Linked DNA regions of Elephas maximus indicus. The protein of the gene in region 1 interacts with the protein of each later gene in a biochemical or structural test. Links are inferred from orthologs where the notes say so. Each region holds a gene or a part of one and is shown in the gene's direction. Other genes may lie near its edges. The genes, in order: SMURF2 and SMAD2.

Region 1 (16,297 bases):
AACTGTTTTGGGGCCTTTGTCAAATATCAGCTGCTCATATGTGGATGGATTTATGTCTGGATTCTCAATTCTGTTCCATTGGTCCGTGTATCTGTTGTTGTACCAGTACCAGGCTGTTCTGACTACTGTGGCGTTATAATAGGTTCTAAAATCAGGGAAAGTAAGGCCTCCTACTTTGTTCTTCTTTTTCAGTTATGCCTTATTTATCCGGGGCCTCTTTCCCTTCCATATGAAATTGGTGATTTGTTTCTCTATCTCATTAAAGAATGTCGTTGGGATTTGGATCAGAATTGCATTAAATGTATAGATCGCTTTTGGTAGAATAGACATTTTTATAATGTTAAGTCTTTCTATCCATGAGCAAGGTATGTTCTTCCTCTTATGTAAGTCTCTTTTGGTTTCTTGCAGAAGTGTACTGTAGTTTTCTTTGTATAAATCTTTTACATCTCCGGTAAGATTTATTCCTAAGTATTTTATCTTCTTGGGGGTACTGTAAATGGTATTGATTTGGTGATTTCCTGTTCGATGTTCTTTTTGTTGGTGTAGAGGAATCCAACTGATTTTTGTATGTTTATCTTGTATCCCGGTGCTCTGCCGAACTCTTCTATTAGTTTCAGTAGTTTTCTGGAGGATTCCTTAGGGTTTTCTGTGTATAAGATCATGTCATCTGCAAATAGAGATACTTTTACTTCTTCCTTGCCGATCTGGATGCCCTTTATTTCTTTATCTAGCCTAATTGCTCTGGCTAGGACTTCCAGCACAATGCTGAATAAGAGCGGTGATAAAGGGCATCATTGTCTGGTTCCCGATCTCAGTGGGACTGTTTTCAGGCTCTCTCCATTTAGGGTGATGTTGGCTGTTGGCTTTGTATAAATGCCCTTTATTATGTTGAGAAATTTTCCTTCTATTCCTAATTTGCTGAGAGTTTTTATCGTGAATGAGTGTTGAACTATGTCAAATGCCTTTTCTGCATCAATTGATAAAATCATGTGATTCTTGTCTTTCGTTTTATTTATGTGGTGGGTTACATTAATTGTTTTTCTAATGTTGAACCATCCCTGCATACCTGGTATGAATCCCACTTGGTCATGGTGAATTATTTTTTGATATGTTGTTGAATTCTATGGGCTAGAATTTTGTTGAGGATTTTTACATCTACATTCATGAGGAATATAGGTCTATAATTTTCTTTTCTTGTGGTGTCTTTACCTGGTTTTGGTATCAGGGATATGGTGGCTTCATAGAATGAATTTGGTAGTATTCCATCCTTTTCTATGCTCTGAAATACCTTTAGTTCTCAAAATGACTTTTAAACCTGATTGCATATTGTTGATATTGTATAAGATTCCTAACCCCTGCCCACCCTGATTCATTTTCTTCTTTGTTCTTACTGCATTCTTCCTACCAGTTTGGTGGTTTCTGCATATTTTCGTTATACTGTACCTTAAAAATGCCTCAGAGGGGGTGTAAAAGTGGCGTGGGGGCAGTGTCTAACCTTTTCTGACTTCACAAGCAGGGAAGAGAATCAAGATCAACAGCCCAAGGCTGATCCCTATGAGGCAGAGGTCAGATAGGCCTCCTCTTTGCACCACCTTTACCAATTCTGACACCAGCAGTCCCTCCCAGAGCACTCTCTGCTTCATTGCTGGGTTTGATTATTCATTGCAATGGCCACACAGAATTCAGACAATATTCATGATTATGGAGTTTGTTATGAAAGTAACAGATTACAGTCCAGGCTCGGGAACACTTAGGGGACAGTTCTTCCATTAGGACAGCCTCTTCTTAGCTGTGCCCACATGCAGGCCTCTCTCTGGGCCCTTGGCCTGTGCCCTGCTACAAAAGTTCATTTAGCTCTGCCAATAAGTGCCCAAAGGCACCCTACTCTTCTAGTAAACCTCAGCCTGAAGGTGCTCAGCTGTAGCTCCTTGGGTCAGCAAACCTCACTCCACCAAGTGCCTGGAGGCTACCCTACTCTGCCAGCAAGCCTCCTACCCAAAGGTACTCAGCTTTCTTGCTCCATGGGCGGGGAACCCCACCATGCCGTCTCCTGCTGCCACCATTTCTCTGCCACAGATTCTTGCTGTCTTCAGTGGTACAGCCTTTTCTCTCTGTCTCCTGGTTCCAGGAGCTTCTCAGCGCTGGAATCCCGGGTCCAAAGGATGTGCTCTGCTCTTGGCTGTTCCCTTTTGATGATGGTGGCATCTTCTCTTTCCCACCTTTGGGATGGCTTATTTCAAGCCAAGCGGGATGCAAAGCTGACCAGTGCCCTTGGTGGGCCACAATTACTTTACTTACGTAGTCCCACCCAATCACTTGCAGGGGGGGCGGTTAAAAGACTATGGTGAGAAAGGCCACATGAAAGTGATCCATCACACCGTAGGGGGGAAATGTATAAATATTTTTTAAGGCTTCTGACATATGGCCCAAAATCTAAGAAATCTGGTCTTGGACCAGCTGAGGCCACTGAATTGGGAGAGGTATTCAGAATGACTCTCCAATTAGTGTTACTGCATTTTATTTTGTCATTTATTTTACCTCATTTTAAACCTTTAGTTACTTAGTTTTTTTTAATTTTATTTTAATTAGATGTTTAAAATCAATGTCAAATGATATTTAACATGGTAAGGAAAAGAATAATAAAATGAACGTACATATACCCAGCTTAAGAAAAAGACCATTACCAGTATTTTGAATGGTTTTAAAGTATTATTTTTGCTGAATCTTTAAAAAAAAAAGAATGTAAATTTATAATTTAATATGCAGAGGAAACCTGAGTCTTTGTCTGTACTTTACACATGTAAACATTTTTCTCGCTTACATGTTTGAGTACTGCTTTAAACTTCATAATAGGCAAAGTGTCTTCCACCTCCCCCAACACTTTCTGAAGTCCTAACTTCTGTTATCTAATGCAAAGCTGCAAATTATGTTAGCGAGTGGTTGGGAACAAAGCATGTGATCTACGAATAAGGAAAATGTGTATGTATTCAGCAGTTTGCTAAATTTTATTGCAATTATCCAGCTTCATAAATTGTGATAGTTATTGTTCAAATCAATTCATCTTCAGGTCCAAAGGACCTTGTTTATTGCTTTGCACACAGTAGGTGCTCGATATTTGTTGAATGAATTTCTAGCACTGTCCCTCATATTTCTAGTCTGACATCACTTTAATTGTAGGGATATATTAGGCTGATGGGAGTCCCAGGGTGGTACGAACTATTAACCTTGCTGAACAAAAGTTTGGAGATTGGAGTCCACCCAGAGGTACCTCAGAAGAAAGGCCTGGTGATCTGCTTCCAAAAAATCAGCTATTGAAAACTCTATGGCGCATACATGGAGTTGCCCTGAGTCAGAATCAACTCCATGGCAACTGGTTTGGTTATCAGATTAATAAGAGGCTCTTGGAGGTAACTTCATCTGGAGAATAAAGTGACTTAACTGGTGAATAAAAGAAATGACTGATGGGGAATTAGGATTAAAATATATTAGACTTTATTAAATCTTTAAAAGAAGGGCATTCCCTTGCTGCCATGGCAGCCAGGGCGACATTACCGCTGTTGGTGATGTCATTTCCAGCACACCAGTCCTCATATACAGGTTCCAGCCCTCAGGAGTGGTTGGAGGCTGTCTTTGGTATGCAGGAAATCTGAATGGTGAGTGAGGCCTAGGAGACACTGGAGAGGACTCCCTGGTTCCTTTGAGAACATTTGTCTCTGTGCATTCCGGAATGAAGTTGGGACCAGCTGCACCCAGGGCATAAGTGGCTATGTTGCTATCCCACTTGGACCCGGATGAAAACGCCTCATGGATGATAACGAGAATAAGCGGTAGAATTTTGAGATCACTGACTGGCATCTCCAGAATGAGTTTAGTCCCAGCTGGCAGCGCCTCTGGCAGACCAAGGAAGAGGCCACCTACAGGGTGTAGGCAGAGCGCGACTTGGGTGATGAGAGGCCTAGTTTTGGAGGCATACGGGATCACGACTATGCGCCAGTCAATTTCTTCAGAGCTGGCTCAAGAAAGGGGCCGCAGAAGAGGCGGAGTTGAAGATTCTGATGACCAAGAGAAACCTGTTAAGCAGGATGACTTTCCTAAGGATTTTTCAGACTAAGGAATTGAAAAACCAGTAGCAATTTAAAACCCAGCCAGAAAAGTTTTGCAGGAAGAATCAAGTCTTTCATGGCCTTTGGCAGCTGAGGAAGACACACGAAAGAAATTGGACAGAAGCTTCTTCAAAAGGTGGGGTGTGTTCCTGGAAGTGGCCTCAAGAAGAATGCACAAGGTATAATCAACCCATTCGAAGCCAAACAGAGAAAGGGGAAAAGGAGCTGTAGGGGTGTACAGCTCGGAGCGAACCATTCAGTCCCTGCAAGACTTCCCCGTGGTTGACTCAGGCGAGGAAACCGAATAGCAGTTTCAGAAGGAACTGAGCCAGTGGAGGAAAGTCTCCAGCGGAAGCAAGAAGCCCAAATACTCTTACAAGACAGGGGAAGAGCTGGAGGCCAAGGGCAGGATTAGTAAGAAGCTCACCAAGAAGGTCAAAGTTGTATAGGTGACAGGCCAGGAGCAGGTCTACCATAGCTACTGTCACATCAGCCACAAGCACAGCGTCCCTGATGGCAGGTTGCTGCTGCAGTCACGACAGCTGCCACCGCCTGGCAAAGAGGCCAAGCCCCCAGGCTTTTCATTTTCTGAGCTGGAGCCAGGGGTGGATTATCCAATAGGCAAGGTAAGTATGGTGCTTACCTTGCTTACCAGATCATCTCTAGTGAACAATTTCACATTTTTTTTGCCACGTCAAAGATTCTGCTTCTAGATATGGCTGGCATCTGTCTCTCTCCCAACCCCACAGTATCTTCTTACAAAATCAAATTCTCTTTTCAAATTTGCAGTCTCTGACAGGGATGGATTACCCAGTGAGCAAGGTAAACACGGGTTTACTTGTGCTTGCTTACTAATCTGTAATGAGTAATTTCACATGTGTTCACAAACCCATGTGAAATAGTTTACTCCACATTAGTAAGTAAGCACAAGTAAGCCCATGCTTACTTTACTTACCGCGTAATCTCCTCCTGGCTAGAGCACAACCTGCAGCTGCTCATTGACCTCAAGGAGCAGGGGATCAGCCAGAATGACTGGCAGCTGAAGTATGAGTGGGACATGGTGGTCAACCTCTCCCAAGAGCTGGAGAAGATGTCCGAGGTCCTGGACCCTGAGGAGAAGGTCACCTCCAGCCTCAACAAGGTCCTGGAGATGGTAGAGGAGTGTGAGTGGCAGATGCAGCCCAACTGCAGCAACCTTCTCACCCTGTATTATTGTGTCTGCATCTTTGAAACCCTCCAGAAAAAGTACTATGAGGAGTAATTACAGGATGTCTGATTGAGTGGAGCTTACTGTGGCCATTGTCTATACACTCATGAAGGAGTACTCCAAGGAGTGGGATCCCCTTTGAGACTGTACATATGGCACCAAAATAATTTCCAAGTGTAAAAGCTTTATAAAGAATGACCAGCTCTTGTCCCGTAGAGGGCAGGACCTCTTGGCAGATGCCTTCACAGGCTGATATGGGAAGTTTGGATGCCTTTTGTTTGAAATATTGTCACCTGGTAGCAACCAAGGAACTGTGACTCAGTGGTGGACTTTTTGGATAGCTGGGTGCACATTATTCCTGTGTGGATTTAGATAACATACTGGACAAGGCTGTCTTCCCCGAGCTTCAGAAGGAGGTGGAAAATTGGAACCCACTGACTGACACTATACCCATCCATTTTTGGATCCATCCATGGCTTCCCCTCATGCAGGTGTGGCTGGAGCCACTGTATCCCCTCATCCGCAGCAAGCTGTCCAGTGCCCTGCAGAAGTGGTATGCCAGGGCATCCTCTGCTAAGCTCACCCTCCGGCCCTGGAAAGATATCTTCACTCCTGATTCCTGGGAAGCATTCATGGTCAAGAACATCGTATACAAGCTGGGGATGTGTCTTGGTGAGCTCGTCCTTAACTGCCATCAGCAGTACATGGAGGCCTTTTATTGGATGATTGACTGTGAAGGGATGATCTCTGTCTCCAGCCGTAGGGCTTCTTGAAAACAGCTTCTCCCCAAGTGGCATCAGGTGCTATGCTCCTGGCTCAGTAACAGCCCAAATTATGAGATCACCAAGTGGTACCAGGGTTGGAAATCTGTGTTCTCAGACCAAGTGCTGGCACGTCCATCCATTAAGGACACATTTAGTGAAACACTTGATATCATGAACAGGGCAGTATCCTCCAATGTTGGTGCCTACATTCAGCCCAGAGCTAGGGAAAACATTGCCTATCTCACCCACGTGGAGCAGAGGAAGGACTTCCAGTATGAGGACATGGTCCAGAGGGACATCAGCATGGCTGCCAGCTCAATGCCCATGAACTCTAAGGACCTCATTCAGACCAAGGCCAAGGAGCACATGCCTGTCATCGGGAAGTGACATGAAGCTCTACACCTTTGGCTGAATCATGTTCTACATCCATCAGGGAGTGGTGTTCCTTCAGGGTGAGAAGACCTGGGTGGCCTCCTCCCTGCAGAGCCTTGACTGACATAGCTAAATAGACTGCCATGGGTCTGGAGCAGGCCTAAGAGGGACGTTCAAAAATGTTTCGTAAAATAAAAAATATTTTAAATTACAAAAAAATTTAAAATTGCATTAGAAGTACTACAGCCTTAAATGAAATGAACAAAGCACACAAAAAATTCCCGACACTGTCATCCTTATCACTCGTTTTCATTATGCATAGGAGTCCCTGGGTGGTACTAACAGTTAACAGAAAGGTCAGATGTTTCAGTGCACCCAGAGGCGCCTTGGAAGTGAAGTCCTGGCGATCTACTTCCAAAAAATCAGCCATTGTGAAAACCCTATGGAGCATAGTTCTACTTTGACACACATGGGGTCACCATGAGTCAGAATCGCTGGAAGGCAACTGTTTTTTTTTTTTTTTCCCATTGTGCAAAGAGACTTTTGCAGGTATATCCATATCCATTGTTGTTGAGTTGATTCTGACTCATAGCGACTATATAGGACAGCGTAGGACTGCCTCATAGGGTTTCCAAGGCTGTAAATCTTTATGGGAGCAGATTGCCAGGTCATTTCTCCAGAGGAGTGGCTGTTGGGTTTGAACCTCTGACCTTTCGGTTAGTAGCCAAGTGCTGAACCACTGCACCACCAGGACTCTTCTGCAGGTATACACACAACATTTTATTCTGCTTTTAAACTTTGCACTAAATGTGAACTCTTCCATGTTACATGCTCTTCACAACTGCCATTTTCAATAGCTGCATGGAAGTCCATCCCGTTGATGTAATATAATTCATTATTAGACTCTTCCCTCATCCACCTTCTTTTTCAAACAACTTTTCGAAGAACATCTTTTGTACATAGTGTTATTTCCTTATTCCAAATTATGTGTCAAGAATAAATTACTAGGAATGCACCTGCGGGGTCAAAGGGTAAGGTACACTTATTTTTATTTTTCTCCTAAGGCAACGAAATATAGTACTGTACGAAAAGCTTTTTATATATTGCTCTTTAAGGTTTATCTTGTTAACATCCCCTTAAGACACTATCATTCTCCTACTCTCGCGCTATAACCGAAAAAAAGCCCGAGCAGGCAGGTAACCTGATCTCATCCACCAGGTGAGTTCTGGATGGAGGTGGCAACAATACTAGGAGCAAAGCTCCCCTGGGAATTTTCTGGAACCTTCGGTGTGGTGATAGTGCCTCTTCCCTCTGCTCAGCGACGCTAAATTCCCAGAGCGAAGTGGACTCGGTTCTACTTGCTCACCCCAGTCCCTCAGAGAGCCCTACACGCAGTGGGCGTCTAATAAATGGTCCCGAGTAGACAAAAGCTCTCCCTTAAGTGGCCAGGACATTAAGTTTCTTCCTGGTGCCACAGAGCTGCCGCCACCGACTTCTTTTTTCCTTTGCCCGCTCCCTCAAGTTCTGTGTGCGACCCTCCGCTGCCCGCCCAAAGGTAAAGAGCGTGCGCACCTCAGCGCGCCACTCCCTGCGGCTCTCGTCCCGGCCGCGCCCGGGCCCCACGCCCCCACGGCCCGGGCACCCCGCTCGGCCGGCCCCGCCCCCTGCTCGGCCCCGCCAGGCCCCGCCCCGCCCCGCCGGCCCCGCCTCCCGCCTCCTCCCCGCCCCCCGGAGACGACGAGTGGCGGCGGCGGCGGCCCCAGGACCCGGTTCCCTCAGACAAGAGGGCGGGTAGAAGAGGAAGCGGCCGAGCCCTGAGCCTTGCTCCGGCGCCGCCGCGGAGCGCCGCCCGCTTCAGCCGACCAGCCCTGTCGGGTCGTGGCCCTCGCCGAGCCGAGCGGAGGGAAAGGCGCGAGGCGGCTGTGCGGAGGCGGCAGAGGCGCGGGCGGAGGCGGCGCGGCCGGCCGCGGCTGCCGCTTTGTTGTGCGGCCCGGGCCGAGGAAGGAGAAGTGGGAGGAGGGGGGAGCTCGGCGTCCCGCTCCCTCCGCGGCTCATGGCGACGACGCTCGGCACATCCGGGACCCTCCGGCCGCGGCGGCCGCGGCGCCGGCTGCTCGGGCCCCAGCCCCGGACGCTGTGGTGACTCCGCCGCGCCTCGCCGTCGCCCCCGCCCCGCCCGCCCGCCGGCCCGGGCCCCGCGTCTGCAGCCGGAGCCCCGCCGCCGCCCCCGCCGCCGGGGACATGTCTAACCCGGGAGGCCGGAGGAACGGGCCGGTCAAGCTGCGCCTGACAGGTGAGGGGGGGACGGGCGGCGGGACCCCGGCCGGGGCGGCCGCGGGGTGGGCGAGCCGGCGGGGGGTGCCTGTGGCCTTGGGAAGGGCCAGGGTCGCGATCAGTGGTGAGTTGGGGGTCGGGGCCGTGGGAGGGCCTAGTGCGGGGAGAGTCACTGGAGACCACTCGCTCTGGTTTGTCAATCTCTGCAACAGCCGAGGGAGACTCGGGGGCCTTTTGTTGAGGGGAGGGGCAGATCGGCTGAATTCCATGCGAAGTTGAGGTCGCGGAGTCTTGGCCGAGGAGCCCGGCGCTCGCCCTGGGCCTCGGGAAGCAGCCCTGGGCGGGTGCCCAGGTGGGGTCGTTGGAGGGATGAGTAGCCCGGGTGCCGGGGATTATTGAATCCGGTTGCTGACTGCGCGCAGTAAACACCCCTTAACGATGGAGCGCTAACGGGAGTGTGTGTGTGTGTGTTGTGTGTGTGTGTTGTGTGTGTGTGTGTGTTCGTTCCTTGGTTGTTCACTTGCACACCCACGTATGCCCGCGTGCGAAAGCTTTCCTCTCTGCTGCCAGCCAGAGCCGCGGGTGCCACACACCTTAAATGAACGTCTTCGGGAGGGAAGCCGACTGAGGTTGACTTTTCCGGTGTGGCTGCCTGATCCGCCGACTCGGGCTCATTGTACACTCTGTGTTTTGGAAGTGTTTGATTGTAGGTTAGCTTGTCTGGGGGTTGTTCCTTGTAGGCCGCAAAACTTGGGTCTCACTTCTAACTCTAGACCTGCTTTAAAATACTTTTTGGAGGGGGTAAATTTCTAAGTACGTGATCGTACCAACTTTCAAGAGAACTTTCACACCCTCTGCCCTTTCGCCTTTTTCTAAAGATTGCTAGTGGAAAAGCATGTCCGGAGGGCTTGCTTGATAGAAGAATACTCTTAACAAAAAGTGTTTACGATTCCCGGTGCTTTAAAACTTTAGCATTGCAGGTACATTGAGCTTCCAGTGCCGTTTTTTGGCATTCTTACATGTTAACCTATTTTAAGGACGAAATAGTTTTGGTTTGGAAAAACGTAAGTGAAATCAGTGTAGTTATCCTAGTTTCACCATTAATAAATTATTCACGTTTATATTCGGATGTGTGGTGAGAAAGGTGGTTTTTCTTACAGGGTGTGTGTGTGTAAGAATAAACTGTAGTTATGTTTGCCTGCGTTAGAGTTTGGGATTTATATGGACTAATTTTGTAGTTGAATACTTGTGTGTCACATCCCAGTCCACTGGCTGAACTTTCTTGATAAAAACTTGCAGTGACTTTGGTATTTGAGAATTTAGTTTGGATGTAGGTTGGCTACAATTTAAAAAATATGTTACTTTCACGACAGTTTTACTTTCCCTAGGGAAAATTGTGAAGAATCATTAACTGAGTGGTTCTTAATGGAAAACCTGGATTGGGGGATGCCGTTCTCCCTGCCTCCCCCTCCTCCCACTCAGTTTCCTTATTTTCTTAGGAGTCAATGGAAACCTTTATAAGGGATCTTTGTTGCTTTAGAGTTTATCTACTGCTGTTCCTCTTCTGGAGTCTGGCCGGTGTCTGTGATCCTGGAAAGAACCTGTGACTCCAGGTGTGCAGAAGGCGTCAGAAATAGGCTGTGGCCGTTAGCTTCCCTTTAGGCTGTATCCAAACTGAAACAGTGAGGGAGGAGATGGTTTTTATTTTCTGCAGATAAAATGATTTTGAGATTTTTAGCAACTCAATAGATGTTGAAATGTTTGTGGTTTCCATACTGTATAAAATAAATATTACAAAAATTCATGAATAAAATTTGTTAGAAGAAAAGATTACACTTTTTGTTTTGAAGGGGGAGGCAGGAGTATTGGACTAAATTTGTGGAGATTTTGTATTTTAAGATTTTTCTGAGGAATTTTAAATAACTTGTGTCATTGATTATTCCTTTCGTTTGTAAAAATATTTTATGGTACTCCCAATTTCTTAAAATCATTGGGACTATATCTCTGAATAGCTTGCTCTTAAAATTCGGCGATTAAAAAAAAAAAAAAATTGTCCTCCCTTTTGTTCCGTATGGTCAATTCTCTTCTGTTTTGCCAGGAAAATTAACATATTTTTTCATGTTTGTTTATCATTTACAAATTAGATGGTATAGATTTTAACAAATAGACCTCAAGAGCTGGATTCAGTTAGCAGCTTTTTAGGACATAAACATTAAAGGGTTAGATGGAAAAGATTGTTTTGACTGACTGGATAAATGACAGGGCTGTGTTTGATGTGCATCCAGGAATTGGTCTGGAGCTGGTGCCCAACTTCTCAGTCCATCTTGAGAAGCCAAATAAAATATTTAACCTAGGCCTTGTTTTGTTTAAAAAAAAAAAAAAAATTGGTTCTTTGTTAAGATCTTAAGAAATGTTTGGCATACTTTTAGACTAAGTGTTTAATAGTTCATTTAGATGTGAGTTCCATAATAGAAGAAAAATCACTTCAAAAAAGTCAGATTGCACTGTAAATTTTTATGTGGTTTACAACATACTTGGACTATAAGATGCTTTAAAATTATTCATCTTTGCTTTATTTAAGTTAGTACTATACTAATATTTTAAGTTTATAGAGTGCCTTTGATTTCAAGATGCTTTATGAACTGTAGCTGACTCAATTATATTTTTAACGTAGAGTTGCCCTTTTAATGAAAGGTGTAAACAGTTCCTTCATGGTGAGGCAGACGCACGCGCGAACTGAAAGATGAAATATTTGAGCCATGGGATCTCTGCCCACACTGGATATTAGATTTTTCCACATGCTATTCCTAAGACCACAACCGACTAGTGAACTATTTGGTATTTGTTGAAGGCAGGACTAATTTGACCCCAAATTTGTGGTTCCTCAGGCCTTTGGTAATTAAAATCTGGCCTGTTCCATCAAGCTATTTCTGTTTTTTTGGTGACGCATTAACACTTGATTATTAAAATGGGCTGTATGGTAAAGCTGTTAACTTCAATTAGTGTTTCTAGAGAAAACTGATTATAAAATGTAAAATTCAAATATATCCGATAAAAGCTTTTCTTACATTGGTTTGGATAGGAAATAATAATATTTGTACGTGATCATTGTTTATGAAAATCTGAAGGCTGGAAAAAGCATTTTAGTTAAATTTCTAACATTTTATAATTCTTAGATATGGAGAAATAACAGATTACTTCTCCAGAACATTTATTGCAGACCTTCTTGAAATTTCAATGTTTTTCTGTTCTGCGCCTCATGTTATTGTAAAATCTTGGCAGTAATGAGGTTAACCTTGTATGTAGCTAAATGAACAGTAATTAAAAAATATCCGTTTAGATATTCTAGTATCATAATATTGTTTCATTCCATATTTTAATCATTCAAAGTTTTAAAAATTGATTTTGTCTCACAAGCTTCTAGGTCGAAGTGTGTCTGTACACCGCAGTGACTTACTCTAAGGCTGTTAGTGATTTGAATGTTCCCAGTTTGTTTTACTTTCTTGTTTTCTGAGAAGAAGCCAACGTGGCTTAGGTCCTTCCTTTTCTCTTAAGTTATCTCTTCTAGTCTGACCCTCTTCAGACTGGCAGTAGAACTTGCTTACATGCTTCATGTAGTTTGGCTTTCATTGATTAGTAAAGTGTGTGCGTTTAATCATGAATTCTGTTTTTCCCTTGTTGGTTGAGGTATTACTGTCACAACGTACATACTAGCATCTTGTTTATTTAGGTATGCTAGCATATATCTAAGAAGCTCTGGTGGTGCAGTGGTTAAACACTCAGCTGCTGACCAAAAGGCTGGCGGTTTGAACCCCCTCACTGGCTCCCTGGGAGAAAGATCACGCAGTCTGTTCCCAAAAAGATTAAACCCACTGGGTCAATTTGGACTCATAGCAACCCTATAGAACAGAATAGAACTGTCCCATAGGGCTTCCAAGGCAGTCCTCTTTATGGAAGCAGACTGCCACATCTCTCTTCTTTGGAACAGCTGGTGAGTTGAACCGCTGACCGTTTGATTAGCAGCAGAGTGTATTAACCACAGCACCACCAGGGCTCCTTCCTGTAAAGATTACAGCCTAGGAAATCCTATGGGACATAGTTCTCTTTTGCACACATGGGGTCACCATGAGTTGGTATCAACTGAATTGTAACTAACAACAACAGTATACATCTAGCATATAATTTAGCATATTTAACATATAATTCAATTTTCAAGGTAAATGAAGGGCCCCACTTTAGGCACACAAGATGATTATGCATGCTTTTGATGAGAGTCTTTTAAAGATGTAATATGTCCTACTCTTTTCAAATAGACCATACTTAACAGTGTTTTGTTTATGATTCAGTATCATTATAGATATAAATTATTGTGCTGTTGTAACATGTAGTATGAGGATATCATCATGGCCTGTAGAGAGAACTCTTTAACCCTGCATATATATGGTAATAAGGTTCCTGGGTGGCGTAGATGGTTGCCATTAGCTGCTAACCTAAAGATTGGGGATTTGAAGCCACCCAGCGGCCTCGTGGAAGAAAGGCCTGGCAAACTGTTTCCATAAAGGTTGTTGTTGTAGTGTGCTGTTGAGTAGATCCTGGCTCATAGCGACCCATAGGACAGAGCAGAACTGCCCCATAGATTTTCCTAGGCTGTAATCTTTATGGAAGCAGGTTGATTTCTAGATCTTTTCTCCTGTGGAGCTGCTGGAGGGTTTGAAACTCCCAACGATTTGGTTAGCAGTGAGCGCTTAACCATTGTGCCACTAGGGCTCCATAAAGATTACAGCCAAGAAAACCCTATGGAGCAATTCTACTCTGTAACACATAGGGTCGCCATGAGTCAGAATCTATTTGATGACAGTGGGTTTGGTTTTTTGGTTTATATGGTAATAGGTGGTTTAACTTTTTTTTGCTGGTTTTTCTCTCTGCCACCGTTTTTCTTTACTGTTACTTTCCCTGCTCTAAGAATGCTATACCCTTGAAATAAACAGTTGTAATCAGCTATGTTATGTGTTTCCATATGAATACTTATTAACTGCCAGGCACCGTATTAAGTTTACATTTAGTATCACTCTTAGTTTTCACCACAGCTCTGTGAGGTAAGGGAAACAGACTTGGACAGGTTAAGTACATGTCTGTTTAGACAGCCTGTTACAAGCCCATTAGAATTTGTGTGGAAAAAATAAGATGAAATAAATTCTGTTCACTTGGAATTACTCCTGCTTCTTGAAATCCTTACTCATCTTTATAGACTCAACTCAAGGATTATTCTTACCCCTAGAACTTTCCCTGACCTGAGTTGATCTCTTTGTGGCTGTACAAGGCTCTTGTGTAGAGCTAACTCACTGAAGGACGTTTACCCCTAGAACTTTTTCTCATTTTAAAATTTATTTCCTAATAAATTACCTACAAATAATTGCTGTGAACATCTTGGTGAAGATTAACTTTTTTAAAGGCTATTTCTGTAGCAGTAGTGCTATTGGATAAAAGGGTGTGGATTTTTTTTAAGTCTGTTGATGCGTTTTCTCCCCAGGTTGCTTCCTAAAAGGATTGTGTCTCTTTAAAGCAGCAGAGAATAGGTGTCCCTTTTTACTGTTCTAGTATCAGCATTGGCTATTTAAAAATTTTTTTTTGCTAATTTCATGGATATAAAGTTTTTATATAGTATTTAAAAATTTATTCGTGAAGGTGAGTATTTTCCTGTGTGTTTACTAATTCTGTATATATATATGTATTTTTCTCTTGTTGATTTGTAACCTGTTAGAGCCTTACTGTTTTCCTTATTGAGCTGCCTGAGATTTAAAAAGGTATTAACCTGTTGTCATATTTGCTATACATATTTTCCTGGTCTGTTATTGCTTTTTAATTTTGACCATTTTTGAACGTGCAGAAATTTGTTATTTTAGAAGTCAAAACTGTCCAGTTTTTCTTTTCCTTTTCTTATTTTATACTTAGGAAGGCCTTCTTCAAGAGGCTTGATAAATAATTTATTTTAAAGTGGTTTAAAAAGATTATTCCCCCAAATTGCTATTTAGTTGCCTTATTATTTATTAGCCAGTTCCTTCTATCCACACTGATGACTTTTTAGTATATTAATTTAGTTACAGTAGTGTCTGGGCTGTTATTTGTTCTATAGGGCCATAAGGAGCCCTTGTGGTACAGTGGTTAAGCTCTTGGCTACTAACCAAAAGGTTAGTGGTTCAAACACACCAGTCGCTCAGTGAAAGAAAGATGTGGCAATCTGCTTCCATAAAGATTTACATCCTTGGAAACCCTATGGGCAGTTCTTCTTTGTCCAGTAGGGTCACTATATGTCAGAATCAACTCGATGGCACACTGTTTTCATTATTGCAGCTTTATAATTTAATATTTTAATTGCGTCAGAAATAGTTTTTGCTAGTTTCACGTCCTCTTCCATGTGAATATTAAACTTGTTAAGTTTAAAAAGAAATTTCAATGGGATTATGATTAAAATTGCATTATATTGGGAAAAAGCGGCATTTATATATATAATTTAACTCAACTAGGAGCCACGTTTCGACATTTAAGGTGTTGCCCCCTATTGATTCAGGATTGTTTTCTTCTTATGTTTTAAGTTATTTCTGGCTAATTTATACTTGTGGCATTTTAATTGTGTTTTCTAATTTGTTCGTATTTAGGAATGCAGTTATGTATATTTTCTGATTTCACTGAATACTAAGCCTAATAGTATTTCACTTTATGCTGGTTTTCTAGGTATCAATTTTTAGCCTTACAGTTGAATGTTAACATTTAAAAATTTTATTTTCTTTTGGTCTTTTTTCATTTAGGAATTTTACGCTGATTTGTTTTAGAAAGCTTCTGAAGGCACTGACCACTTTTTTTTGTATTAACAATAAAGCAATATGTCAAGACACTTTTATATTATTATTTTTTAAATAATTTTTATTGAGCTTTAAGTGAACGTTTACAAATCAAGTCAGTCTGTCACATATAAGCTTATATACACCTACTCCATACTCCCACATATTCTCCCACTAATGAGTCAGCCCTTCCAGTCTCTCCTTTCGTGACAATTTTACCAGTTTCTAATCCTCTCTACCCTCCTGTCTCCCCTCCAGACAGGAGATACCAACACAGTCTCAAGTGTCCACCTGATACAAGTAGCTCACTCTTCATCAGCATCTCTCTCCTACCCATTGTCCAGTCCCTTCCATGTCTGATGAGTTGTCTTAAGGAATGGTTCCTGTCCTGGGCCAACAGAAGGTTTGGGGACCATGACCGCTGGGATTCCTCTAGTCTCAGTCAGACCATTAAGTCTGGTCTTATGAGAATTTGGGGTCTGCATCCCACTGATCTCATGCTCCCTCAGGGGTTCTCTGTTGTGCTCCCTGTCAGGGCAGTCATTGGTTGTTGCCGGACACCAACTAGTTCTTCTGGTCTCAGGATGATGTAAGTCTCTGGTTCATGTGGCCCTTTCTGTCTCTTGGGCTCATAGTTATCGTGTGACCTTGGTGTTCTTCATTCTCCTTTGATCCAGGTGGGTTGAGACCAATTGATGCATCTTAGATGGCCGCTTGTTAGCATTTAAGACCCCAGAT
Region 2 (16,043 bases), on another chromosome or scaffold:
CTTGTAGAGCTTATGTTCAGTGGGGCGGGGTGACCAATGATAAAAATACAGAAATAAATGGACAAGATGATTCTAGATAGTGATATAAGTGTTGAAGAAAAAATTTAAAAGATGATGTGGTAAAGTGTAACTGATGTGCATGGGGGGATGCTAATCTAGATTGGGCGGTCAAGGGAACAGAATCTAGAGAACAGGTGGAGGTAACAGCTTTTTTCCAGAAGAAAGAGCAAGTCTTCTAACAGGAAGTGGCTGGAAGGATGGGTCTGGAGACCGATACATTTGTTTACGGTTGAGGGTTTTGGTATGGGGTAGGAAATTTGCCTCTATATTCATTGCGAAATAGTTGGTGAGGACATATGCTTAGAAATAACAGGAACAGGGAGATTGAAGAGAGTGGTAAAGGTTTAAAATACCTGTTTTGGGGTATGGGCCAGGGTGTAGACAAGGGACAGTTAGGAGAGTTAGTGGGCAGTGCCAGAACAGAAAAGGCATTCACTATGTGCATAATCCCTGGCACTAAATGGTCATAGAACTTTGGGAAAGCCTGAGCATTGAATTAGCTTCATGATTATATGAAGGCAAGGAAGAGCCGATATGAAACCTCCCTGTTGCTGTTGTTAGGTGCCGTTGAGTTGGTTCTGACTAATAGCGTCCCTATGTACAATAAAATGAAACACTGCCTGGTCCTGTGACAGCTTCACAATTGCTGCTATGTTTCAGCCCATTGTTCCAGCCACTGTGTCAATCCACCTCATTGAGGGTTTTCCTCTTTTTTGCTGACCCTCTGCTTTACCAAGCATCAAGTCCTTCTCCAGGGACTGGTCCCTCCTGATAACATGTCCAAGGTATGTGAGATGAAGTCTCGCCATCCTCCCTTTTAAGGAGCATTCTGGCTTTACTTCTTCCAAAACAAATTTGTTTGTTCTTCTGGCAGTCCATGATATAATCAATATTCTTCACCAACACCATAATTCAAAGGCACCAATTCTTTAGTCTTCTTATTCATTGTCCAGCTTTTGCATGCATATGAGGTGTTTGAAAATACCATGGCTTGGGTCAGGCACATCTTAGTCCCCAAGGTGACATCTTTGCTTTTTAACATTTTAAAGAGGTCTTTTGCAGAAGATTTGCCCAATGCAATATGTTGTTTGATTTCTTGACTCCTTCAGAAAAGGTGTGCATTGGAATTGTATCCTTCTACCACACTTATTCAACCTGTATGCTAAATAGATAATTCAAGAAGCTGGACTGTATGAAGAATAATGCTGCATCAGGACTGGAGGAAGACTCAATAACAAACTGCAATGTGCAGACGACACAACCTTGATTGCTGAAAGTGAAGAGGATTTGAAGCACTTACTGATGATCAAAGACTACAGCCTCCAGTATGGATTACACCTCAACATAAAGAAAACAAAAGTCCTCACAACTGGACCAATAAGCAACATCATGATAAATGGAGAGTAGACTGAAGTTGTCAAGGATTTCATTTAGATCCACAATCAATGCCCACGAAAGCAGGAGTCAAGAAATGAAACCTCCATGCAGCTATACAATTTACTGCTTGAAACCCACCATTGAAGTCTTTAGGATCCAATAGCAATTGGCTCTTTCCCACCATTAGCATTCTGGCCACTTAGTAGCTAACACAATTCTCATACTCCTTCAGCAAAATGTCTTTTTCAAAGCTAAGGACTGTTTACAGTAAGGACAAACAATTGAGGCTCATTAATTCAATCATTAGGACACTGATTTGTATCTATTGTCTAGTCAGCTGTGTTAAATAAGCTCTTCAGTCTTCATCAGAGCAATTATGCTAATGTGCTTGAAATTTTCTACGAGTTTTATACCTTCATACACTTATCCTGCCTAGAAGCAGCCTGGCTAGTCAATATTGTCATACATAGGCAATTATAATCAAGACAGAAGGCCCTGTTGTTGACATGGGACTGAATTATGCCCCCCTCACAACAGAACTTTAAATGATTTGTATAATATTCTTTCAGGGCTTAGACGTTGGCCACTATTTAGTTTTTTTATCCCAAATGTTTAGATCTCAGATAATACTTAAATGCCTTCCTGGGAGTGCTCATTGTATTGGAATTGACTGTAATTTTCCAAGTAATATTTGAACAATCATTGAATTAGCTATGATCAGTTGTACCTTTAAATGTATAGACAAAAAATGCAAAAATAATTATCAGATGCCTGGAGGATGATGAGAAAAATAACTTGTTGCCAAATACTTTTCTCTCAGCCATAGCCAACTTCTCTCTCAATCTCTTTCTTCAATTCTAAAATGCTTCACCATTATGTCTTGTTTTCCTGCATCTTTGGCCACAGAATGAGGATTTTCCACCATGAACAACAGTGTTTTATGGTAGGTACATAACAGATACCTGATAAATACCTGTTGAGTTTTATTTAACAGTATGTCTTATACATCCTTTAATATCAGTTATTATTTTTTAATAGTTTGAGAGATTTATGTGGTATGTTGCTGTCGTTGGTTCTCTGCACACATCGTTGAGTCAGTTGCAACTCACGGCGACATCACGTGTGCAGAGCACTGCTCCATAGCATTTTCGAGGCTGTGTCCTTTTGGAAGCAGATTGCCAGGCCTGTCTGCCAAGGCACCTCAGGATGGGTTTGAACTGCCAAACTTTCAGATAGCAGTTTAGCCACCCTGGGACCTTCACCTGTTGAATTGCTTTTCTTGTAAATGCCTTATTCTTTTCCCTAGCATTTCCCATCAGATGTTAGATATTTTTTATTTGTAGCAAAAACTAGCATACGAATAAGGCTGTGTGTGTGTATGTGTGTGTGTGTGGAGGCATGTGTGCACACCCTCAACAAAAATTCATTTAAAACATGAAATTTCATTGTATCGAGATAAAAATCCTACTGGCGCTGGATGTCTTCCTTATCATTTACAATAAAAGTAACCCCATACATTTGTTCTTTACAATTTTTACTTAGGTTATCTCATTTAATCAGTGCTCTTAAGGAACTGGGTCTTTCCTTAAGATGTAGTAATTGTCACTGAAACTTAGTTTCACCAGGATGAACAAATACAGAGGTTAGATGTTGACAAGATAGGGCCCAATAGTTTTACTGAAGGCAATTACAAACAGGAAAGATGGGGCCAAGTTGTGCAGGTGCTGGGAGATCCTACTGCAGAGCTATGACATGTAGAGCATTTTTCTGCTATGCAAATGCTATATTTTCACCTTTCTTCAATTCCTTCGTATTTTGGTAAAGATGTGGGAAGACAGCTGAGAGTAAGATGCTTTCCTTGTCCTCTAGGAATTTAGTCTAAATGAGGAGGCAAAACAGGCATACGCAAGAAGTTAAATAATGGCTCAAGACTGAATAGATCAAGGTGTCAATCACAAAAAAGTCACAGTATGTTGTAAAAGGGTAGTAACATCATTAGACCTTACCTAACATTACGGGAGGTGATGAGAATCACCATCAGCACAAAGCCGATTCCCATGAGGTGGAGGTCGGACATGCTTCTACTCTCCAACCTTTTCGTCAATTCTGATACCAGCCATCTTCCCCACAGTGTTCTTCCTCTCTGCTGGGTTCAATAATTTGTTGCAATGGCCATATAGAACTCACAGACTATATTTAAAGTTAAGTGGTTTCTTAAAGAAGTAACAGGGTCCAACTTGGGATCAGGACTAACAGGCTACAACTCAGGATCAGGATCAGGAAGCAGGCAGGCAAAGTCTGCAAGGCTCCCTCAAAGGGGAGAGCACACCCTTCTCTTCTTCAGTGCAGGACCGCTCCCTCGGCTCCCCTCAGCAGTGCAAGCAAGCAGGCCCTTCTCTCTGCCATGCAAGCTCCTTCTCAGCTGTGCAGGCCTCCTCTTAGCCCCCTGAGGACAGGCAAGCTTCTCTGCCTTTGGCCTCTCCACTGCTAACTGATCCAGCTCATAGCCAAGGTAGCGGTTTTGTTCAGCTCTTTTAGCTGCATTGCTAGCAGCAGGTTTCTGCTGTCACCACGGACTCTGCCACAAATCCCGTTCCTAGACTCTGGCTGTCTTCTGTTACAACCCTTGATCTGTGTTGCAGCTCTTTTAGGAGTTTCTGCACCTCTTTTCTTTCTTCTTGCCCTTTCTCCTCTGCTTTCTTCTTTCGGTCTGCAAACCTCTGTGTTATCGACTGCATATATAAGCAAACTTCTGGTCCATTTCAAGGAATGGCTCTCTCACCACGTACATGAACTGACCAATCCCGTCTCAGGAGGCCACAGTCCCTTCATTTGCATAGTAAGCCATAGTCACTCTATTTGCATAAGTATAGTGACCAATCCCTATTTATGCGATCCCTTTCACTCAAGCTGCGTAAAACAGACCAATCATTGGGCAGGCTGCCGCTCAGGGCCAGACAAAGTATCAAACCATCAAGTTGTTTACAGTTTACCCAGGAAATGTCAATCAACGTGGACAAAAGTAACAAATCCTCTGGGGCAGGAAAGTGGGGCAAAGTTAACTCCTCAGGGTTTAGGGGAAAAATCTCTCAGGGTGTTTTTTAAGAGAACTAAGGCAAAAGGCCACATAAAGGAACTCATTGACCACATATGGATATCATTCTGACCAAAGATAGAAAGTTCATAGATGAGTGATATAGCTTTGGGCTGGGGTAGAAAGGAAGGGCTTTACAGATTTACTACAGAAGAGATGGAAGATGTGTCATTCATTTTGAACAGCAACACATGAATATAGTTTTAAAAAATCAAACTACAGAAAAATTAACAATGAAATACCCATGACTCCCAGGCTCTCTTTCTCAAAGCAGCCACCATTACCATTTTTCTTTTGTGTCTGTCTAGTGGATGGCAAAAAAAAAGAAAAAAGTGGATTTAACTACTTTTAAATGGATTCTGAATTGATTTTGATTGATTTTTCAGTGTCACGCATCATGAAGGGTTAAACTTGGGGTCCATCCATATATAAATTAGACTTACTCAGTGTAACTTATACAATAGGAACCTACTGATAGATCTTGAAGTGTCCTAGTGGATTTCCACGCTGATTGTTGCCACAGCAATCCCTGCCCCATCTGCCTTCAATTTCTGTCTTGACCCACTTTGGTTTAGATACTTTTCTAGCAGAGGGACAGTAGGCATGCTCCCATTTGTAAGCCTGTTGGGGACTGCATTGGTAGCCAGATTGCCCCTCCTCCCCTTTCCTCAATCCTACATATCTTGGAAGACTACCTGAGTGGAAGAGTTAGAGACCCAAAGTCCAACACTTTGGAGAGAGGCTTTAACTTAGGCCAAGCATATTACCCACTGAATGAGTGTACCCTCCAGACTGCCCAGCTTCCATACTGAGAGCAGATTCTTCTGGAATCCCGGTCAGCTCTGTTTTTGTTACCACACCTGCTCACCCAGGTGGGCACTCAAATCCACACCCTGGTCACATAGGAGAATGTTTGTGTGATGCAGGACAGCTTTTTATAGGCTGTTTCTTATTAAAACTGTTGATCTGTGCTAGCAGGATGAAGGACCAAAAACCAGAAACAGCCTTTATACTTCTAAGTTGTGTAGCTGGTATTAGTTGTCATTGGACCACCTCCGTTTGACCAAAGGAGCCCTGGTGATCAGTGGTTAAGAGCCTGGCTGCTAACCAAAAGGTTGGCAGTTCAAATCCACTAGCAGCTCCTTGGAAACCCTATGGGGCAGTTCTACTCTGTTCTGTAGGGTCTCTATAAGTCAGAATCAACTAATGGCAACGGGTTTGGGTTTGCCCATGACCATGTTCCCTGGTGGCTCTGGGAAGTGGGAACACAAAGCCAGGAGGTGGAACAGCTCCACCACTTGTCTTCCTGGGTCTCCTTCACACGCTATTTTATAAAAAATGGGTGAGTAAGGCTGCCTCTAAACCAACCATGAAGAAGCCACCCTGAAAGTAAACTTTTTGACGGAACCCCTCCTGCTGAGTAGGCTCATATTTGCATAATGCATACAGGAACAGAAAAGAAATGTTGATTATCGACTTTCTTTTAACTTCAAAGCACTATGCTACTCATTTGCATATTTATTATTCTACTTAATAATCACAAAACTACATTTAAATAGGTATCATTGCAAGTTAGTTCCACTTGCCAAAGATCACGGATGTGGAAGAGCTGCATTCAAAACTACGATTTGCCTAACTCCAGGGTTCATACCCTTCATCACCTTTCAATCAGAAAAGTACTTCCATGCTTTGGGAGAGAGATGGAGATTTTGAGAAGAACTCTGGAAAACCTGTAAGACTCAGACAGAAGGCCAAATATTTCTCAAAGTCCAGCTGAGATTTCCTCCACTTCTGGAAACAGTACACTTTGAGGACTCTGAAATGCTCATTTGGTACTTCTTAATTCGGTATTGCTAGTGATGCTGTCCCACTTGAGTCACTGTGATGGTTAAGATTGTGTGTCAACTTGGCTGGGCCATGGTTCTCAGTGTTTATATGTGATCACCCCCATGATGGGATCTGCTGTGAGTAGCCAATTGGTTGAAAGGGAGTTTCTTCAGGCTTGTGGCCTGTATCTGAATATAAGCGGATGCTCTGGCTTTTGCCTGCTCTGGATCCCACAGCTGGCTCCCGTTTGCCTGACCTCCGATTCTTGGGACTTGAGCTAGCAGCTTACCTGCCAATCCTGGGATTCATGGATCTTCACAACTTGTGAGCAAGAGCCCTGCTCTCCGTCCTGCCGATGTTAGGTTCGCCAGCCCCTGCGGCTACGTGAGTCAGGAGAAGCCTCTATCTTAATTCATGGACTTGGGACATTCCAGCCTCTACAATCTTGTGAGATGTTTCCTTGATATAAATCTCTCTCTGTATGTATTCATATGCTTTACTGGTTTTGCTTCCCTAGAAAACCCAGCCTAAGACAGTCCCCAATTACATTAATGAAGTAGTACATGAGAGAGTGTTGGGCAGGGAGCCAAGAAAACTGTGTCCTAATCTTGTCTCTAAGGAGGCCTGGTGGCACAAACGGTTAGTGGTTGGCTGCTAACTGAAAGGTTAGCGGTTCAAATCTGCTGAATGGTTCTGCTGGAGAAAAGACCTGGATATCTGCTCCAGTAAAGATTACAGCCTAGGAAATCCTTTGGGGAAGTTCTACTCTGTCCCATAGGATCACTATGAGTTGCAACTGACTCCATGGCACCCAAAACAACAGTAGTCTTGTCCTTGCCACAAACTACCTGTGTGAAACCTGAGATTCTTTCCAACTTCAGTTCTCTGGTGCCCCCTGCCTAACGTAAACCAAAAAAACCAAACCCTTTACAGTCGATTCCAACTCATAGGCACCCTATAAGACAGAGTAGAACTGCCCCCATAGGGTTTCCAAGGAGCAGCTGGTGGATTCGAACTGCACCCAAGTTGTCAACCTAACATAGTCGGTGCTTAAAATTTTTTTATGATTAAAAACCCATTTTGGAGTCGATTCTAACACATAGTGACCCCGTAGGACAGAGCAGAACTTCCCCGTTGGGTTTCCAAGGCTGTAGATCTACAGAAAAGTAGACTGCCACATCTTTCTCCCAAGGAGCTGCTGGTGGGTTTGAACTGCTCAGCTTTAAGTTAGCAGGCAAATTCTTAACCAGTGCACTACCAGGGCTCCTCCTTGATGTGATTACCACTACACCGCCAGGGTTCCCTTGAAGTGATTAGTTAGGTTTAATATTCTCGTCAGCATAGGTTTGGGTGTCCCTACGGTAAACGCGGCACGGTTATCCGAGGGCGGTTGCACCCCAGCCTTGGGCAGTCAGCAGCTTAGGGCTCTGCTGCCTTCCCTGGCGCAGATGTGTCAAGTTCAGGCCTGGGAACATACTGGTTGCAAGAAGGCATGCCAAAACTGTGGAGAAATGAAAAACGGAAAATAACCCAATAATTATTAGGCATATTGCCAGGCGCTTATCTTTTTAAACTTCACAACGATGGTTCAGAAATGCATTATTAGCACCACTGTTACTGAAACTGGAAACCAAGATGCAGGTTACACCAAAATACCTGGTATCCCTTTCCCTCACCCTAAATACACAGAGAAAGTACATCCCTCTGGCTCTCGGCTTATTTACATCTCGGACCCCGCCCCCGCCTAGCACCACGAGGGGCCACGCCCACTCATTTGCATACGGGCGCGCCCAGTTGCGGGCGGGTACCGGGCTCTTTCTGTCCCTTGCCCGTCCTATTCTCGGGGCAGCTAGGAGCCTCCCCCAGGCATGAGCACGTGCTCACCCGGCTTAACGACGGAAAGTGGACGAGGCAGCAGCCCCCAAATCGGCCCCACCCAATGGCGCTGGCAGGGACCAAGGAAGGGGCCCAGGAAGCGGCAACGAGAGCCGGTGGTCGCTGGGGATTATTTTCCCAGCGCGGCAGGTTACGTGCCTTCCACTCTTCCCTCCCTTTCCCAGAGTCGCTTCTGGGAGGGTGCCGGAATTGAAATCAGCCGAGACCGCTCGCGTCCAGCCCCTCCTCGGCCTCTGCCGCCAGCCGGCCGCGCCTCGCCTCACGCTCTACGGGGGAGGCGGGACCAATCAGCGCGCGACGTCTCCCTTCCGATTCAAGGCTCCGGACGCTAGGCTCACACCCCGGCCAGCCCGCGCGCTGATTGGCTGCGAGCGCCGCCGGTCCAGCCGGGTGGGCGGGGCGGCCGAAGGGAAAGGGAGGCGGGGAGGTAGTGGCCCGCGACTCTCGGCGCCCCGCTCGCCCCCAGCCCTTCCCTTGGCGCTCGGCCTCCTTCCTTCCCTCCTCCGCTCCCTTCATCTGCTGTGCGCGCGGAGCGCTCTGCTCGGCCGGCGTTCCTCGCGCCCTAACAGGCGGGTGGGGGCGCCAATCAGCGGGCGGCAGGGTGCCAGCCCCGGGGCTGCGCCGGCGAATCGGCGGGGCCCGCGGTGGGAGGCGGGTCTAGCCGCGCGGCCGCGGCGGCGGAGGAGCAGCTCGCCAGCCAGCAGCCAGCGAGCGCCGAGCGGGCCGCCGGGAGGTGGGTGCGCTGCGCCGCTGCGGCCGCGGTGTGAGGGCGGCGGGCGGAAGCGGAGGTGGCCGGTGGGCGCGGCGGGGGAGGGCTTGGCGTCCGGGGCCGGGAGGGGAGGTCCGGGCGCGCGCGCGCGAGGGGAGGAGGGGCGGCGGCGGGACGCGCGCGTCCCCACCCCCTCCTTCTCCGGCGGGCGGTGGCGGCCGGGCCCGCGACCCTCCCCTTGCCCGGCTGCGCGCCGGGAACTGAGCTGGGGGGCGGGGTGGGGCGGGAAGCCGGGCGGCTGGGAGTGTTTTCAGTTCCGCCTCCAATCGACCATTCCCCTCTTCCCCTCCCAGCCCCCTCCATCCCATTCGGAAGAGGAAAGAACAAAAGGTCCCGGACCCCCGGATCTGACGGGGCGGGACCTGGAGCCCCGGTCCAGGTAAAGCCCCCGTGCCCGGCGGCCCTGGGGGTAGGGGTGTGTTTGTGTTTGGCTTGGGTCGGTAAGATTCGCCGTGTCACATGGCCACGGGCCGTTGGGGGTTGGGGTGTGGCGGGGTTGGGGGCAGTGGGTGCGCCGGGCTTTCGGATGGACGAGGATCGAAGGGGCCAGGGGAAGGCCGAAAGGGAAGGGGCCAAACGTGCCAGCGCCGCGTCCTGGAGCTGCGGGCGAGCCTGGTCCGGGGCGCGGGCCGATGTGTCTCTTCTCCTCCGCTGGTAACACACTTGCTAGTTTGTGGTTCTGATTTTTAAAGTCGAAGGGACAGAGCTCTTATTTCAGGAGTTGTTGGAAAGCCGTGTTACGAGTGTGAGATACTTTCTTTGCTTCCAGTTTTTTTGGTCTTGCAACCTTTGTTAACCATAATAGTCTCCGGTTCTGAATTGCTTGTGTGTGCTCACATAAACACGCACACGGCTGCTACTCTGTCGAGATCATTCTTTACTCGGGAAAGTTGCTTCGTGAGTGGAGGCGATTAGTTTTTATCACCCGCCTTGAGAAAGCACGGTAACTTATTTCGTGTATTTAAAACTTGGTTTTCAAAATTGCAACTTTAATGATTTTTTTCTCTTTTGGTGGACTACTGGCCTTGGGTAGTGTACTTTTGTCTGCTGCTTACTTACTCTCAGGTAGTTATGCTTTCCTTTTGATCCCAAACAAAAGAAAAACAATACCTAGGTTGGTTTTGTTATTCCTCCCTCTTGACCCTTTAGAAGCCAAATACTGTTGGTTTGCTGTCAGCAAAACCTTTGTTGAAAAGAATTGCTAGGCAAAACGAATTTGGAAGTAGTATTATCCGTCAAAGTCATGTCTTGTTTGCTACAGTTTGGAGTATATCAGTTTTGGTGTCTTGAACTACATACAGTAAAATGATTATAAGTAAGTGATCACACAAACTTATCTCAGCTTTTCAAAAATGGTCTCTGAAAATTAAGTTAATTTCCAGAATTCTGAATGAGTCTGTATTTCCTTTTCATTTTCTCTCTTCTAATTTCATACGAATTGAACCTGTGCCACTGATAGTAAAGATGTTTTCCTCTAGCCTAATAAGATAATAAATTTGCTGTTATTATGCTGAAAATACATTTGTTCTAGTTTTGACCTCTTTTAACAAAAAGATTCTAACATGGAAGTATAACTCAAATAGTTAGCAAAGCATTTATATTAAATTCAGAAAGTAATACTGATTGTATTTTTAGAGTTTCTCAGTTTTTGTCATAAAGTGTGGTAGATAGTAAATAAAATGTCTTTGGGCATTTCTAAAGTGAGTGCCCACTTTCTGTTAAAATCTGCTATTGAGTTTGAAGGAGTTCATTGGCCATTTTTATTTAGTGTTGGAAACATCTGTTTCTGTATTTTAGTAAAATGTTGCTCTTAGAAGCTTGGTTTTTATACTTTGTAGTACACCTTCTGAAGCAGTGATTTCTCATTGTAGATGTTTAACAAAAGTTTGGTTTTTCAAGGATGTAACTGTGTATCTAGTCATAAGTGGTCAATTTCCTACACAAACTATAAGGTTCATGAAATACTAGTCTTGTAAGAAACTGTGCAGGGTAATTTCCTGTTGTTTGTGGCTTGTCAGCCTTGGTAATATGTTTTAACTCTTAAGTAGGAATTTTGGGGATGATTTTGTGTATTTCCAGCCTTCAACTCAGAAGTTCTCCTTAACAGGAACAAAGGTTGTTTCTACTTCAGGTTGGGGGGGGGTAGGGGGTGGGAGGCTGCCCTTTTCATTGTCATATTGTAAACGTTAGGATTTTGTTGCAGTAATCTCATTACTTCTCACTGGGGGACATAATGTGCACTAGAAACACTCAGTTTAGCTGCATAAACTGATGAATGTTTACATTTTGAAAATATTTTCACTTTTGGCTTTTAGGCCTAAAAGCTTGCTTTCTTCTTGTTGGGTTTTGATTCTGTTGGTTTTGTATTTTAAGACTCCAGAAGCCTCGTTTTGTAGCAGCTTTTTTGTACAGGTGTTTTTGTAATGCATATAAAAGCTGTATTAAGTGCAGTCTGGCAGATGGAAGTTTATTCATATTCTTGGGACAAGAGTCATTTTTAGGGGGTTGAGAGGGGCGTGTCTTTTAGCTTCCTCCTATTTTGATGGGAGTGGAAGAGCCATTTTTAGGCCTTCAGTTTCTGTAAAGGAAAGTGTTTCCCACTAAGTATTGTAAGGGTGGTCAGAAAACTTCAAAGGTAAAGATTTCGGAAACAGTTCAGGAGACGTTATGCATTTATCCAACAGGTAACTTTTATTTATTGAACCAGTAGCATTTATTCATTTATTCAGTGAATAACATGTATTCAACAAATAGCCTTTTTTGCGCGTCAGGCCCTGGGCTAGGCAATGAAGTATTTAGCGGCCAACAGTTAATACCCCTATTCCTTAATGGAATTAGAAAAGTGGAAATTCCTAATGCCCCTTGCCCCACTCCCCAGTATTTAGAATAAGAAAATTATGTTAGTGTACAAATTTAGGGAACGTGTGATAAATTCATGACCGAGCTGGTTCCTGAAGTACGCTCGCATTGCTTTCTACCCAGTGTAGAGGGCAGCACTAGGGAAGATGGGAAGTGTTAATAACTCTTTGTGTCTTTGGAAACAGCCCATGTATTTTGGGGAGAACCTGTTAACATTTTTATACAGTGTATACAAATTGGAGATTAGGCCAATCTTTCAGTAGTGTGTTGCTGAACCGATGGACACTTGCAGAGCTAAGCTGAATTTGGCATTAGTTCATTAGTTTGATTATCCATTGCCCTTTAGGTATAGAGACTGGTTGGGGAAAGGAAGAAAACTTGACTCAGGTCAGACTTAAGCATACGGATCAGGAATAAAGTATAAAGACAATTAGCTAAACTGGAGAATAAGGATTGTCCAGCAATCTCATATAGTGAAAAAGCCATGGATTTTACCATGTTGGGCAGATTGCTTAACTCCTGAGCCTTGGTTTTCTGACTGAAAATGGAGGTAATAACACCTATGTCTTAAGATTAAATGATGATAATTAAAGTATCTAGAACATTGCCTGAGACGTAACGGGTCCTCCCAAATGATCTGTTCTCTTGCTCTGGTCTTGTGGTTTTCAGTCATTTGTGCCCTTTCTAATCCAGATGACTTGCTTCCACCCTTATCTTTGACCTATTATAGAGGAGGCACTAAGCAGAAAAGACTGAGGTAGCCAGATTGTCCAAGTCCATACCTTAAAGCTTCAGTCATGGGAGAACCATTGAGCCCCATTGTCAGAGCCTGTTGGTGTTTATTTAAAATATTTCTAATAAGCCTAGTTACCTGGCTTCTAAACCCATAGTAGATTAGAAACTAGTAGATTGTGGATAGTTTAGGAGGTTAAGAAGGGTTGTGGTGGGGGCTGGTTGGAGGATGGAGAACTGTTAGCCTACTGTCTATTGTAAGAAAAAACAGATAACAGCCTGGCAGGGTAATAGAGATAATCCACAGGACACACAAACAAATATTCAAAGCCTAACTAGCATGCCTGGGGCCATTCAGTGCAGGACCTGACCTGAAAGCATAGTAATGAATGTTCATCAATTAGGTTAACTCATATTTGGGAAAATTTTTTAAGAGTGCAGCAGTCTACATAAAATATCGTAGACTGTCATTGGGATGATTAACAAATGTTCCTCAAGAGATAAAACATTCTGCTATTTTGAATGACTTATTTCACAGAAGATCCACAAAGTACCTACTGTGACCAAGATGTTTCGCATTTGCTTTGCCATTGAAAGAGCCATGATTCCAGACTGAAAAATCTTTTATGCTAGGCCAGTAGTAAAGAAAAGCTATCTAACTGGTGTAGCACCTCATGGCACACCTTTTCTTCAGAGGAAGTCATTCAGTCTTTTTTCAGGCTGGAGTTTATGGAGAACTTCACTTAGGTTTTGCGATACGGAGTGTGCTAGAGATTTCCAGGGCCTACCACTTGTGGAGGAGCCCTGGTAGCTGCTAACCAAAAGGTCAGCGGTTCAAACCCACCAGCTGCTCCATGGGATAAAAGACCTGGTGATCTGCTTCTATAAAGATTACAGCCTTGGAAACTATTAAAAAAAAAAGAAAAAAACCAAACCTGTTGCTGTCAGGTCGATTCCGACTCATAGTGACCCTATCTGACAGAGTAGAACTGCCCCATAGAGTTTTCAAGGAGCGCCTGGTGGAGTCAAACTGCCGACCTTTTGGTTAGCAGCCGTAACACTTAACCACTATCCCACCAGGGTTTCCAGAAGAAAGTTAAAGTGTTGCATTGGCTGGGAATCGAACCCAGGCCTTCCACATGGCAGGTGAGAATTCTGCCACTGAACCACCAATGCTGAATGGCTTGGAAACTATGGGCAGTTCTGATCTGTCCTGTAGGGCTGCTATGAGTGAGACTCAACATGACAGCAATGGGTTTGGTTCTTTTTTCTTTTTTTTTTTTTTTTTAACAGCAAGGGTTTTGGTTTGGTTTTTTAAGCATGTGTGGACCAGTCTGTCCATTGAGGGCTTTTTGTTTTATATACCCAGTGCTGTCGAGTCGATTCTGACTCATAGTGACCCTATAGGACAAAACAGCACTGCTGTGGGGTTCCCAAGGAGCGCTTGATGGATTCGAACTGCAGACCTTTTGGTTAGCAACCATAACTCTTAACCACTGTGCCACCAGGGTTTCCTTTTATATGTGACCATAATGCCTGATACTAACCTTTTTTTGGTTTTTTCTTCCTACTTCTGGGTTACTTTCTAAACCATGTACTTTATTAAATATTTATTGGTGACCTTGTACTGTGTCGCTTTGGCTATTTAAAAAGTAGTAATATTTTTTAGCAGTAGTATAAAAGTAATCCATCCTTTTTTAGATAAAAATGCACAGTTAGAGGCTTACTGCTAGTCACTGATCTGTGTGATAATGTCTCTAGAGTGGCAAAACCGTGATAGTGTATTTAGTTAGGACATAATTCACTGCTGATTCTAGATCTACATGTTGTAGGCAGCTCCCAGCTTCAATTCCAGCAGTTTCTTGTAGGGAAGATGTAATTTTGCCATGCTGGTGGATTGCCTCTAGTTTGGCTAGATAGCCAGAAATATTAGGGTGATTCCATAACTTATGTATTTGCCTTATATTCTAGAGTGGGGGGTGGTTCCTTTTGAGCTTGAAGGGCTCCTCGTATTTGTAACTGAGGCACACTGATAGGACAGATGCTTGACAATTTAGATATATCTTTAGGTTTTGTACTCTTGAGAAAACAAATCCTAAAGTTGGATTCATTCTCATTAAATTTTTCTTGAATTTACTGTGAAATTGTCACTAGTTCTTCCAGGTAGCTCTATAAATCTTCAAAACCCGGAATTAAGTTGGCCTTGGGGCTGCAGAGCAATGAAAAGTGATTGTAGACTTCATTTACCATCTGCTCATGTGCAGTTTGCATTTCATTTCCCTGAAAAATCTACAGTGCCCTACCTCCCTTCCTTGTCTCATTGGGGAGGGAATAATTTCAGGTTTAATGTACAGGTAGTCCCTGCCTTACGTTGGGGTTCTGTTCTGATGACTCCGTCGTAAGTTGGTTCTGACATAAATTGAATAATTGATGTAAACTTTTTAGTTTTCATTATTATTGCCTTTTACTATCAGTAAGTTTATAAATCTCATCTTTATCTTTCAACATCTGCGCGTGAACATCCGAGATAACATCAGGAAATTATGCACTGCAGCATTGTATGTAGTACATGTTACTAACGATAAGTTGTACAAAAAAACCAGACAGAGCGTTGTTAAGTGTGGTTCCTTGTTTAACTCCAGTACGCCGTGGATTAGGGACTACCTGTATTCAGTTAGTAAGGAAGAAGAATGAGCCATTGAAAGTCCAACAGGTTCATTCCCTTGAGTCCGTTAGTTCAAAAAGACTTCTGTCTGAAAAAGTAGCATAGTAAATCTGTAATCTCTTAGTTCTCCTGTGTTGTATGCTGCTTCAACTAATTCCAAAAATTCTATAAAGATAGTGGTTAAGGGCTTGTAAATATTAAGAAAATGCTCTGTCTTAATCACATTTTTCGTTATAAGATGCGGGGCTGTGAATCTGGCTTGCCAGGTTCATGGCACAAACCCCGGTAAGTGGTGCAGTGGAAGCTGGGCCCGTGAGTCTTCCCCCTTGACTTGGATGAACTCTTGAAACTTTGTTTTTTGACCAGAGATGTGAATGAACATTTTCCATGTTCAGACCAGTCTTCTTAAAGATTTCACAGATAGGTGGTTAGACTCTAGTCCTTGTTCGCTGACCAGTTAAACTTCTCTTTTAAAAACTGTTTAAGTATCAGGAGGTTCACCTTTGGCCTGAGGTTTGTGCATCAGGCATTTCGGCTTTAAACCAGCAGTTTTCAGACTTAAAGCATGCACACATCTAGGTGCGCAAAGGCCACCAGAAAGGCTTAAAAAATGTTATGCGGAATTTCAGAATGTAAGACTGATAAAAAGACAAAAACTTTTTTTGTCTGGGGGGGCGGGAGAGGGAGGATGGGCAGTGCTGAAGTCCTACCTGCTCAGGTTCCCTATCATTCTTACCTCCAGTAAGCCTTTGAAGGAGCACCAA

What was found.
Region 2: the proteins of SMURF2 (region 1) and SMAD2 form a complex in vitro, tested with the Homo sapiens proteins (3 studies listed by BioGRID and IntAct, with this or other methods). The link is inferred for Elephas maximus indicus from reciprocal best matches to the Homo sapiens genes SMURF2 and SMAD2.

Annotation. Positions count from the first base shown.
Region 1 is NC_064837.1:55,836,495-55,852,791, reverse strand, and holds the start of SMURF2 (E3 ubiquitin-protein ligase SMURF2), read left to right. Parts: upstream 1-8,195; 5' UTR 8,196-8,687; coding exon 8,688-8,739; intron 8,740-16,297. UniProt on the Homo sapiens protein: E3 ubiquitin-protein ligase which accepts ubiquitin from an E2 ubiquitin-conjugating enzyme in the form of a thioester and then directly transfers the ubiquitin to targeted substrates.
Region 2 is NC_064829.1:56,502,784-56,518,826, reverse strand, and holds the start of SMAD2 (mothers against decapentaplegic homolog 2), read left to right. Parts: upstream 1-8,668; 5' UTR 8,669-8,987; intron 8,988-9,316; exon of another isoform or gene 9,317-9,402; intron 9,403-13,719; exon of another isoform or gene 13,720-13,790; intron 13,791-16,043. UniProt on the Homo sapiens protein: Receptor-regulated SMAD (R-SMAD) that is an intracellular signal transducer and transcriptional modulator activated by TGF-beta (transforming growth factor) and activin type 1 receptor kinases.